Linked DNA regions of Tribolium castaneum. The protein of the gene in region 3 purifies or fractionates together with the protein of the main gene of each other region. This does not show direct contact. Links are inferred from orthologs where the notes say so. Each region holds a gene or a part of one and is shown on either strand. Other genes may lie near its edges.

The links.
Region 1: the proteins of U6 snRNA-associated Sm-like protein LSm6 (region 3) and Rnp4F purify together in Homo sapiens (affinity purification with mass spectrometry; 4 studies listed by BioGRID and IntAct, counting the BioPlex papers as one, with this or other methods). This does not show direct contact. The link is inferred for Tribolium castaneum from reciprocal best matches to the Homo sapiens genes LSM6 and SART3.
Region 2: the proteins of U6 snRNA-associated Sm-like protein LSm6 (region 3) and LSm1 purify together in Homo sapiens (co-immunoprecipitation; 3 studies listed by BioGRID and IntAct, counting the BioPlex papers as one, with this or other methods). This does not show direct contact. The link is inferred for Tribolium castaneum from reciprocal best matches to the Homo sapiens genes LSM6 and LSM1.

The regions. Positions count from the first base shown.
Region 1 is NC_087396.1:21,413,610-21,417,824, forward strand, and holds Rnp4F (squamous cell carcinoma antigen recognized by T-cells 3), read left to right. Parts: upstream 1-1,399; 5' UTR 1,400-1,604; coding exon 1,605-1,688; intron 1,689-1,740; coding exon 1,741-2,008; intron 2,009-2,063; coding exon 2,064-3,988; 3' UTR 3,989-4,004; downstream 4,005-4,215. Other genes in the region: amon (neuroendocrine convertase 2), read left to right, coding at 1-380, 549-710. UniProt on the Homo sapiens protein: U6 snRNP-binding protein that functions as a recycling factor of the splicing machinery. Promotes the initial reassembly of U4 and U6 snRNPs following their ejection from the spliceosome during its maturation.
Region 2 is NC_087400.1:5,966,418-5,969,244, forward strand, and holds LSm1 (U6 snRNA-associated Sm-like protein LSm1), read left to right. Parts: upstream 1-1,613; 5' UTR 1,614-1,695; coding exon 1,696-1,747; intron 1,748-1,792; coding exon 1,793-1,977; intron 1,978-2,019; coding exon 2,020-2,193; 3' UTR 2,194-2,285; downstream 2,286-2,827. Other genes in the region: adenomatous polyposis coli homolog, read left to right, coding at 208-469, 521-760, 807-1,401; rho GTPase-activating protein 19, read right to left, coding at 2,310-2,687, 2,790-2,827. UniProt on the Homo sapiens protein: Plays a role in the degradation of histone mRNAs, the only eukaryotic mRNAs that are not polyadenylated. Probably also part of an LSm subunits-containing complex involved in the general process of mRNA degradation.
Region 3 is NC_087398.1:10,391,044-10,393,423, forward strand, and holds U6 snRNA-associated Sm-like protein LSm6, read left to right. Parts: upstream 1-1,495; 5' UTR 1,496-1,543; coding exon 1,544-1,634; intron 1,635-1,687; coding exon 1,688-1,836; 3' UTR 1,837-1,860; downstream 1,861-2,380. Other genes in the region: inosine triphosphate pyrophosphatase, read right to left, coding at 860-1,432; uncharacterized protein LOC100142353, read right to left, coding at 1,861-2,380. UniProt on the Homo sapiens protein: Plays a role in pre-mRNA splicing as component of the U4/U6-U5 tri-snRNP complex that is involved in spliceosome assembly, and as component of the precatalytic spliceosome (spliceosome B complex).

The DNA.
Region 1 (4,215 bases), on a different chromosome or scaffold from region 3:
GGGTGCTGGACGCCGGTGCCATGGTGGCCCTCGCCAAGCAGTGGAAGACCGTTCCGCCGAGGTTCCATTGCGAGGCCGGGTCCGTCACCCAGGTCCAGAAGATACCCTCGGCGAAGAAGCTGGTCATGCAGATTACGACGACGGCGTGCCAGGGGCAGAGCACCGAGGTGAGGTATCTGGAGCACGTGCAGGCGGTGCTAACGGTGAATGCGAGTCGGAGGGGCGACCTGGAGCTCTTCCTCACGTCGCCGATGGGCACCAGGTCTATGATTCTCAGTCGAAGGCAAAACGACGATGATACGAGAGATGGGTTTACGAAGTGGCCTTTCATGACCACGCATACGTGGGGGGAGTACCCGCAAGGGACGTGGGTGTTGGAGGTGGGTGGTTTTTATTAATTTTTTACATTTATTTTTGAAATGTTTGAACTTGATTACGTGGAAATTGGGGTTGTAGGACACAGGATAAATTAAATTAAATTCGTTACGACGTTTCGATACTTTATTGAATATCTTCAGTCAAATTTATTATTATTATTTTTGTTTCAGGCCAGCTTCAATTCGCAGATGCCGCAAACGGGCTTTGTCAAGGAGTGGACTTTGATGCTGCACGGCACAAAGGAGCCCCCTTATACGGAATTGGCGGTTTTGGACCCACATTCCAAGCTTGCTATAGTGAAGAAGGCGCATGAAAATCGAATGAAGATGTAATTGGTCTCCAGTTTTGGTTTATTTATTTGTTAAAGATTTGATAAAGATTCATATATTTTTAAGTAGAGAGTAGCGATATACTGAAATATTTAAATAAATCCATCAATCTCTAACTGTACTGTAATAAAAGCATGTGATTATATAAGAAGTATAAAATATCAAGTAATTATTGGATTTTATTTTTACAAATTGTTGGACAAGAGCTTATATTTTGTATAGCGTTCATTATTCAAATATATATTAACTGAAAGAGATTATTTATTACAGTGCAAGCGATGAATCTCATGCAATTGTACAAAATTGTAAATTGTTTACAATATAAACTTTATTTCCGATTGTGATTTTGTTTGCTTCTGCTGGCCGACAACTGTAAATAAAACTAGACATTTAACCAATTTTTATTGCTTGTTTTATTTATTTAAGATTGCTTCATAGTTTTACAAATTCAAATCTTCAATTCAAACAGCTCGTATCTTTTTTGAGGCGCATGTGCACACCCAACCAGAAGCATGGCATAGATGGTCTCAAATTTATTCGGAGCAAAGACCAATAAATAAAACTACATTTTTACTAAAAAACTTTTATTCAATTTAATCAACTCACACCACGTTTAAATTAGAGATTTTATGGTCGTAAAGCGCAACCAGCAATACACATCCAGAAAAACAGTTTTACAGTATTTTTGCTAATAAATTTCAACATTGAAACCAGTTTCGGTTTTTCTGAACAAACAAAACTGTTAAATTGTTGTTAATTAGAAGTGTATTCCATTGGTATCGTTTCAAATTAATTTAGTAACTTTGCTGCTCAAAATTAGACTGGTAAATCTTCTGTCACTGTTTGCCAACATCAACATAACCCAACTTTCCTATTTGTCAAAACGTACTTTTTACGATGGAAATAAACGACGATTCCAACGAGCAAATGTCGGTCAACTCGGACTCGGACTCCGACTCCGGGGACGACCAAGAGGAGCAAGTAAGGGCCTCCACAATCCTCCAAAATTTTTCTAACTCTAAGAGTGTCTCAGGCCCTCCTCACTCGTGCTGAAGACCTCGAACGCCAAATCTCCGACAACAAGTACCTCTACAATGCCCACGAAGAGCTCGTCAACTTGTACCGAAAACTGGGGGACTTGAAGTCGATGCGTCTGGCGTACGAACGCTTCCAAGAGTACTTCCCCCTAACCCCCGAGATCTGGCTCGCGTGGATCAACGACGAGAAAAAGTTAGCGAGCTCCGAGAGCGAGATTAAGAATATTTTCGGGCTTTTTGATAAAGCCGTGGAGGATTATTTGTGTAAGTTGGTCAGGTAGCCTGAAATTAGATTGGCAAGCCTGACACGTTTTTTCAGCTGTGAATTTGTGGGTGGAGTACGCGCAGTACTCGATTGGGGTTAGCACCCTTGACACGACACGTGTGATAATCGAGAGGGGTTTAACCGCCGCTGGGTTACACGTGGCCGATGGGAGCCTCCTGTGGGACACTCTCCGGGAGCTGGAATTCGCCCATTTGTCCCTGACGGAGGCAGGGAGCGAGCCATGGAAAACCCAAGTGGAAAAAATCGTGGAGGTTTTCCGGCGCCAACTCTCAGTGCCGCTCCTTGACATGGAAAACACTTACAAGGAGTGGAAAGAGTGGCTAACGCAGGTGCAAGACCACAAAATCAATGCTGAACCGGTGGAGTGGGGCTATAACAAGGCTTTGAAAACCTTAGAGACCTACAAGCCGTTCGAAGAAAAACTACAAGTAACAACGGACGAATCGCAACTATTACGAGTTTATCGCGACTACGTCAAAGTCCTAACGGACCCCTCGACAATTTTGTGTCTTTATGAACGCGCAACGGCCCAGATGTGTCTCAACCCGGAGATTTGGCTCGATTATTGTCTCTACGGCCTGAAACTGGGAGCCCCAGCTGAAAAAATCACAACTAAGGCTTTGAGAAATTGCCCCTGGAGTCAAGAATTGTGGATTATGCGCCTACAAGTCCTTGAAAGTCTCCAGAAGGATAATAGCGAAGTTGTCGCTTGTTTCGAGCAGGCTGTGTCAAATTTAGGCGCCCAATCAAGCGAGCTGTGGCTCGCCTACTTAGAATACGTCTCACGGACGTGCCAAGACCAAGCCAAAGTTTTCAAATCTTTTGACCAAGCCTTAGAACAACTAAAATATAACGACGAAGGCGCCCTCAAAATCACAAAGTGGTATTCGAGAATTTTGGCCAAAAATAACAACATGCAAGGGGCGCGAAACCTCTGGAAAAACCTACTCAAAAGCCCGAACCACAAAATCCTGGCCAACACTTGGCTGGAGTACGCGCGGCTTGAACGCCAGTTCGGGGAACCCCCGCAAGTCCGCGCCATTTTCCAGAAAGCCCTAACCAATTGCACCGACTGGCCCCTGTTTATCGCCGACGAATGGCGTGAGTTCGAACGCGAGTTCGGTAAACTACCCGACGTTCTAAAATGCCTCGAAAAACGCAAAGAAATCGAACCGAAACTAAAAACGATTGAGCCGCCGAAAGCCACCGGAACCAAACGAAAACACCCGAGCGAAGCCGAACCCCCGCCTAAGAAACACAAAAAGCAGGCGGTGGTCAAAGACCCGACTCGCACAATTTTCGTCAGTAATCTACACACTAGTGTGAATGAAAAACGACTGAGGAAATTCTTCCCCAATTGCGAAAATGTCGAAATTGTGGTCGATAAGCGGGGGAAGTCCCGGTGTTATGGGTACGTGCAGTTCGCCCTTGAGGAGAGTGTCATGGCGGCGCTGGCACGTGACCGGGAGCTGCTTGACGGCCGCCCTATTTTTATTTCCAATTGTAAGCCGAATCGTGAGGAGCGGAAAGCCGGCTTTAAGTACTCGAATGAACCCGAGACCAATAAACTTTTCGTTAAGGGACTCCCCTATGACAAGTCGCAGGAGGAAATTGAGGCGATTTTTCGGCCTTTTGGGGCGAAAACCGTGCGTTTGGTGTGTCGGCGAGATGGTAAGCCAAAAGGACTCGCGTATGTTGAGTTTGAGGACGATGCAAGTGCTAAGAAAGCCATGGAAAAGACCGATGGGATGACAGTCGGGGACTTTACCATCAGTGTGGCAATTAGCGCGCCCCCTGTCAAGAAACCAACAACAGTTGCAAAAAGTACACCAACACGGCATGCACGCAGCCGATTACAAGTCCCGATGTTACCGAGGTCCTTGCAAGTCAAGAGTGCGACGAATGGTGATGTCAAACCGAAAACCAATGATGATTTCCGATTGTTACTTCAGAAATAAAAGCGATTCAAACATATTTATTCAACAACTCTCTACCTCTAGATACAAATGAGGTAACCGCCCTCAATATGCTGGCAGTGGTGGGTGATTTCGCACATGTTTCTCCTGTTTGAGTGGCTGAAAATTATCTAAAAAATATATACGATACACAAAATATTGCTTCGTTCTCTCTTATTTACAATACGTGATTTTGTACTTGTGACGTTTGAGCAATTTGCGCGAGAAAT
Region 2 (2,827 bases), on a different chromosome or scaffold from region 3:
TGGTAGAGTTACACAACTTCTTCGGCTCAGATCTGTTGCCTTATTTTTGTTTATTGATTTTTATTATTTTTTATTTTTTCTGGTGACCACCACCAAACTAAGGCTTGACAATATTTCTTTTAACAGAATCTCCAAGATTTTTATTCAATGTTGCTAACTCAACCGAATAGTTTGTGTCATAAAAAATATTGTATGTAACTCTGGTAGAAATTCCAACTACGGGAAGTCCGCCGTCTCGCCGTTCGTCTTTTTCTCTGAGTGACGATTCGGACGAAGCAGGGGAGGCTCTGCTCCAGGAATGTATTTTAGCAGGAATGCCCTCGAAAGCGTCAATTTCGGGGGCCCCTGACGTGCCAAAAAACTTACCTAATCCGGACCTGTCACGTAACCAAATCATTGAAAGCGAATCGTCGGACGAAGACGATAAAATTTTATCAGAGTGCATAAACATCGGAATTACAAAAAATCGGTAAAGAAATCAGTAAACCATTCGATTTTTTTTAACTAATTTTCATAACAGTTATACACAACCAAAAATTGTAAACGATACAATTAAGAGTTACTGCACTGAAGACACTCCTGCCATTTTAAGTCACGCCGGTTCTTGCTCTGATCTCAGCGTCCTCTCTATCCAAAACGGGGACGAAAAAGAATACTTTTCCGACCTGAGTAATTTTTCGTCAGAAGAAGACGAAAAGTTATTGGAGGAGTGCGTCAAGTTTGGAATGGCCGTAATTGCCAAAAATAAATCCAACTACGAGTAAGTCACTTTTGTGTTCTTCCATATTCTAGTAATAATTTTTTAGTAAAATGGGCGAAACTTCCGGGTCGAGACAAAAAAGCAAAATTGAAAATTTCTCCTCTAGTGAATCAGATTCGGACGAGTCGGAGCAAGCCCTCCTCCAGCAGTGCATCGAGGCCGGGATGCCCAAGCGCCCCCAGTCCCCCGACTTGACCCCCGCTGAGAAAGCCCTCCTCGAACAGTGTATCCTTGAAGGGATGAAAAAGTGCCGAAACGTCCCGAAAAAACCCTTCGAGGACGACTCCTCGGAACTGACGGAGGCCGAACAAGCCCTCCTACGGCAGTGTATCCTGTCCGGAATGCCCAAAAATAAGAACCTGACTCAAGGGGGCCCCTCGGCCGTGAGGGAATCCCACGAATTGAGCGAGGCCGAAAGGGCACTCTTACAACAGTGTATTTTGGCCGGAATGCCAAAAAACAGGCGGCGGAAAGAACGGGTGGAGAGACAGGAGCACACGTGTTGCGTGCACTGTCCCCGAAAGGGGGCCAGGCGGAAAAAATACAAAGTGAAGGAGAGTCGCGATGTTAACATTGTGTACGTCACGAGTCAAATTGTGGTGAAGAAGGAGGTGGATCGGGGGCACGAGGAGTGGGTTTGAGGGCCAAATGTTGTGTAATTGTGATAAATAAATCAATTTTTTTGCAATCTATGTTTTTTTAATTCAATGGAATGTATAAAATGACCGCTTAAACCGCCACGAAAAGTTGTGTTTTAAACTAAGGAACGTGGGAAAAGCCGTTTAAGTGGTAAATAAGTCGAATTAATTAATTTTCCGCCCATTTTAATGACTTAACACGCGGCGCTCTAGCGGTTGTTACGTCAATGAGTTGCCCCTAACCTCACTTTTTCCAAAACAACCCCCTTTATTTTACATGTTATAAAAGCGTGAAATATGAATAAAACCGAACTGGAAGGCACCGCGCACTTGTTGGACGAGCTCGACAGTAAGTCAAAGGGGCAATAACCCCAAAACTGATCGCTTCTTGTAGAAAAATTAATGGTCCTCTTGCGCGATGGTAGGACCCTAATTGGTTATTTACGAAGTGTTGACCAGTTTGCAAACTTGGTTTTGCACCACACGATCGAACGCATTCATGTGGGTAAAGAATATGGGGATATCCCCCGTGGTGTCTTTATAGTTCGAGGCGAAAACGTAGTCTTACTGGGCGAAATAGTAAGTCAGGTTTGAAGTTGTGATTGTTTAAACTTTGCCAAGGATGCAGAGAAAGAAGCCGAACTGCCGCTGACTGAAGTCTCAGTGGATGAAATACTTGACGCTCAGAGACAAGAACAGGAGTCCAAGCAAGAACAACAGAAATTAGTGTCAAAGGCGCTGAAGGAGCGGGGGCTGCACTTAATGGCCGACTTGACGCACGATGATATGTTTTAACTTTTTAGGTAGAAACACAACGCGAATTATGTCACTATTTATTAAATTTTTCTCATTTGTTATCTTTCTTTAATAAATATATTTACAAAATGGTCCTGCTTTTGTACTACAATTAACTAAAATGAGGTTTCAAATACTATGGGTTGTCCATTTTCATCGAATTGTTTCGGTTTGAGAACAAGTTCCTTCTCACTTCCGGGGTCATTTCCGTCCAAACAACTCAGTAACGAATCAGTCATTTTGCTCGGACTCAAGTCGGAGTTGAAATCATCAGTCCGACTGGAAAAACTCGAATCTGCGGCGGGCGACGAAGTCGTCAACATGCTCCGATTTTCCAAATACTCTCGAAACGTCTGACTCAACGAATTATCCTTCTCCACCTCCTCGGGGACTTCATCCATGGCCTCAACTGTTTCAATCTTCGCCAAGGTGTTGATATTCGTCCCGGAAACAAGCAAGACCGGCTTCCTGCTTCTGGGAGTCATCATAGTTTCCTAAACGAGACACAAAACAAGTCAGAATAGATGGCAGCACTTGTGGTGAGTTCGGGCAAAAGCGACACAAAAGCAAGACAAGCGATTCGACTGCCCCCATACCTGCATGGCTCTGGTCATACGCTGTGTGGATCTGGTTA
Region 3 (2,380 bases):
AATGCACAGTATTTTATTTAAACGACAAGTATTTTTAATCAGTAAAAATAATAATTGCACACTAAAAATAATAAATGCACAGTAAAATAATAAATGCACAGTAAAAATAATAAATGCACAGTAAAAATAATAAATGCACAGTAAAAATAATAATTGCACACTAAAAATAATAAATGCACAGTAAAAATAATAATTGCACACTAAAAATAATAAATGCACAGTAAAATAATAAATGCACAGTAAAAATAATAAATGCACAGTAAAAATAATAACTGCACAGTAAAAATAATAAATGCACACTAAAAATAATAAATGGACTGTAAAAATAATAATTGCACAGTAAAAATAATAAATGCACAGTAAATAATAGCATCTCAAAACTAGAGTGTGTAGAATTTCACATTTCCAATTTTACGTTTTTGAGTTTAATCGTTCGAGGAGTATTTTTCCTTTTAGTTTGCTGGGGCGAAGCCCTAGACTGCAAGCTAGCTACTGAGCGTTTATTATTTAAACTGTGCAAACTGAAACTAGATCCTGTGCATATACGATTTTTTTATTGGGCAAATTTTAAAAAAATACTGTGCGTGGTTTACTTGTCATTTAAATTTTTTACTGTGCAAAAATGAATTAAATACTGATGATTTATTATTTTTTACTGATTAAAATCGAATTTTTTACTGATCGCTTTATTACTATCCTTTCAATAATGGCATTTGAGTACTAAAAAGTACTACCCCCCGGACTGTTTTGTTATAAACCTGCCGGAGAAATAAGAAAAGCGTAACAAAAAAGCACTCAAATCAAACAAAACAATTTATTTAAGTTGATTAAAGTCAAATAAAACTAAAACGACAAAACATTATTGTTTCTCTTGGTTCATAAAATGATTCCTCAGCGCGTCCAAGGCGCGGTACCGATGAGAGATTTTATTCTTCTCCTCTTTGGGCATCTCGGCGTACGTCTGCGTGTACCCCACTGGCTGGAAACACGGATCCCATCCAAAATCCCTCGGCCCCCTCGGCATCACAATCTCTCCATCCGTGCGCCCCTCGAACAGAATCACTTTGCCCCCTTCATCGCCCGGATGATATGCAAAAGTACAAACGGCCTGGGCACTCTTATCCTCATGCCCAGCCAGTAGTCGAAACAGCCCCTCAGGACCCAACTTATCCAAGAACCACTTAATATAAGGACCGGGCAAACCACCCAATGCGTTGAAACACAGACACGTGTCTTCGACGATACACGGCCCCTTGATGATTTCGTACGCCGCTTGGCATTTTTTCACGCAAATATCGGCGATTTCGCCCTGGAGCTCAGGGAGGTCCACTTTTTGACTCACCACTTTGCGTGGGAATGTCGAGCCGAGGATGGCAACCACCTCTTCGAGCTTTTTGGCGTTGCCGGTGACGAATGTTAGCGGTTTCGACATGGTTTTGCGTGAAAAAAACAGGAAGTGGGGTTATGTACATGCCGATTTGAGGTTAGGTTTTTGTCAGCCGAGGCGGTTAAATAAGCAAATTTGAGCCACAAGCTGATAAGGATGAGTCGCAAAGAAGCCCTTTCGTCTTTTATTCAACAAATTCACGCCAGGCCTGTTGTGGTCAAGTTGAATAGTGGTGTAGATTACAGAGGTGAGGTTATGTTTGTTTTTTGTCAATGAAGGGGGCTATTATTTGGTTTTTAGGTGTTTTGGCTTGTCTCGATGGCTACATGAACATAGCGTTGGAGCAAACCGAGGAATACGTCAACGGACAACTCAAAAATAAATTCGGGGATGCGTTTATTAGGGGCAACAATGTGCTCTACATAAGTACACAAAAACGTAGAATCTAATGTATTTTTTGTAATAAAAACGTTTCAAAACTCAAAGTCGTTCATTAAAGCGCACTGATCGATTCTCGTAGAGCTGTTGTATAGCTCAAATAACTCGTTATTTGTCTCACACTCTTGTTTCTTTTTCTTACTTTTAACGAGACTACAGTTCTGATATTTAAATTCATTCAATGTGTTGTCCGGAGGAGTTGGATAAAATTCACAGATGAAGTCCAATTTAATTTTACAATTGAGTGCCCTCCACGTTTTTTCAACATCTAACATGACACAGTCTTCTTTTCTTCGTCCTGGTCTTGGGTGGCCCACAGCCCAGGCCCGAAACCGCGAACATTGCAAAAAGTCCCCCATTGGAGTCTCAAAACTCCCCTCAACCGTAATGTCGTCAAGGCCAACGTATGCCCCCTTGTACCAGTTAGGCAAAGACTTGAGTAACGCAGCTAGTGCGTTCGTCCTTGCCTCAGTCAAAATATCAGCCAGGTCGCCCCCCAAATCCTGGCACCGACGTGCGGCGCTGGAATAATTCATTTTTTCCTGAACCACTTGA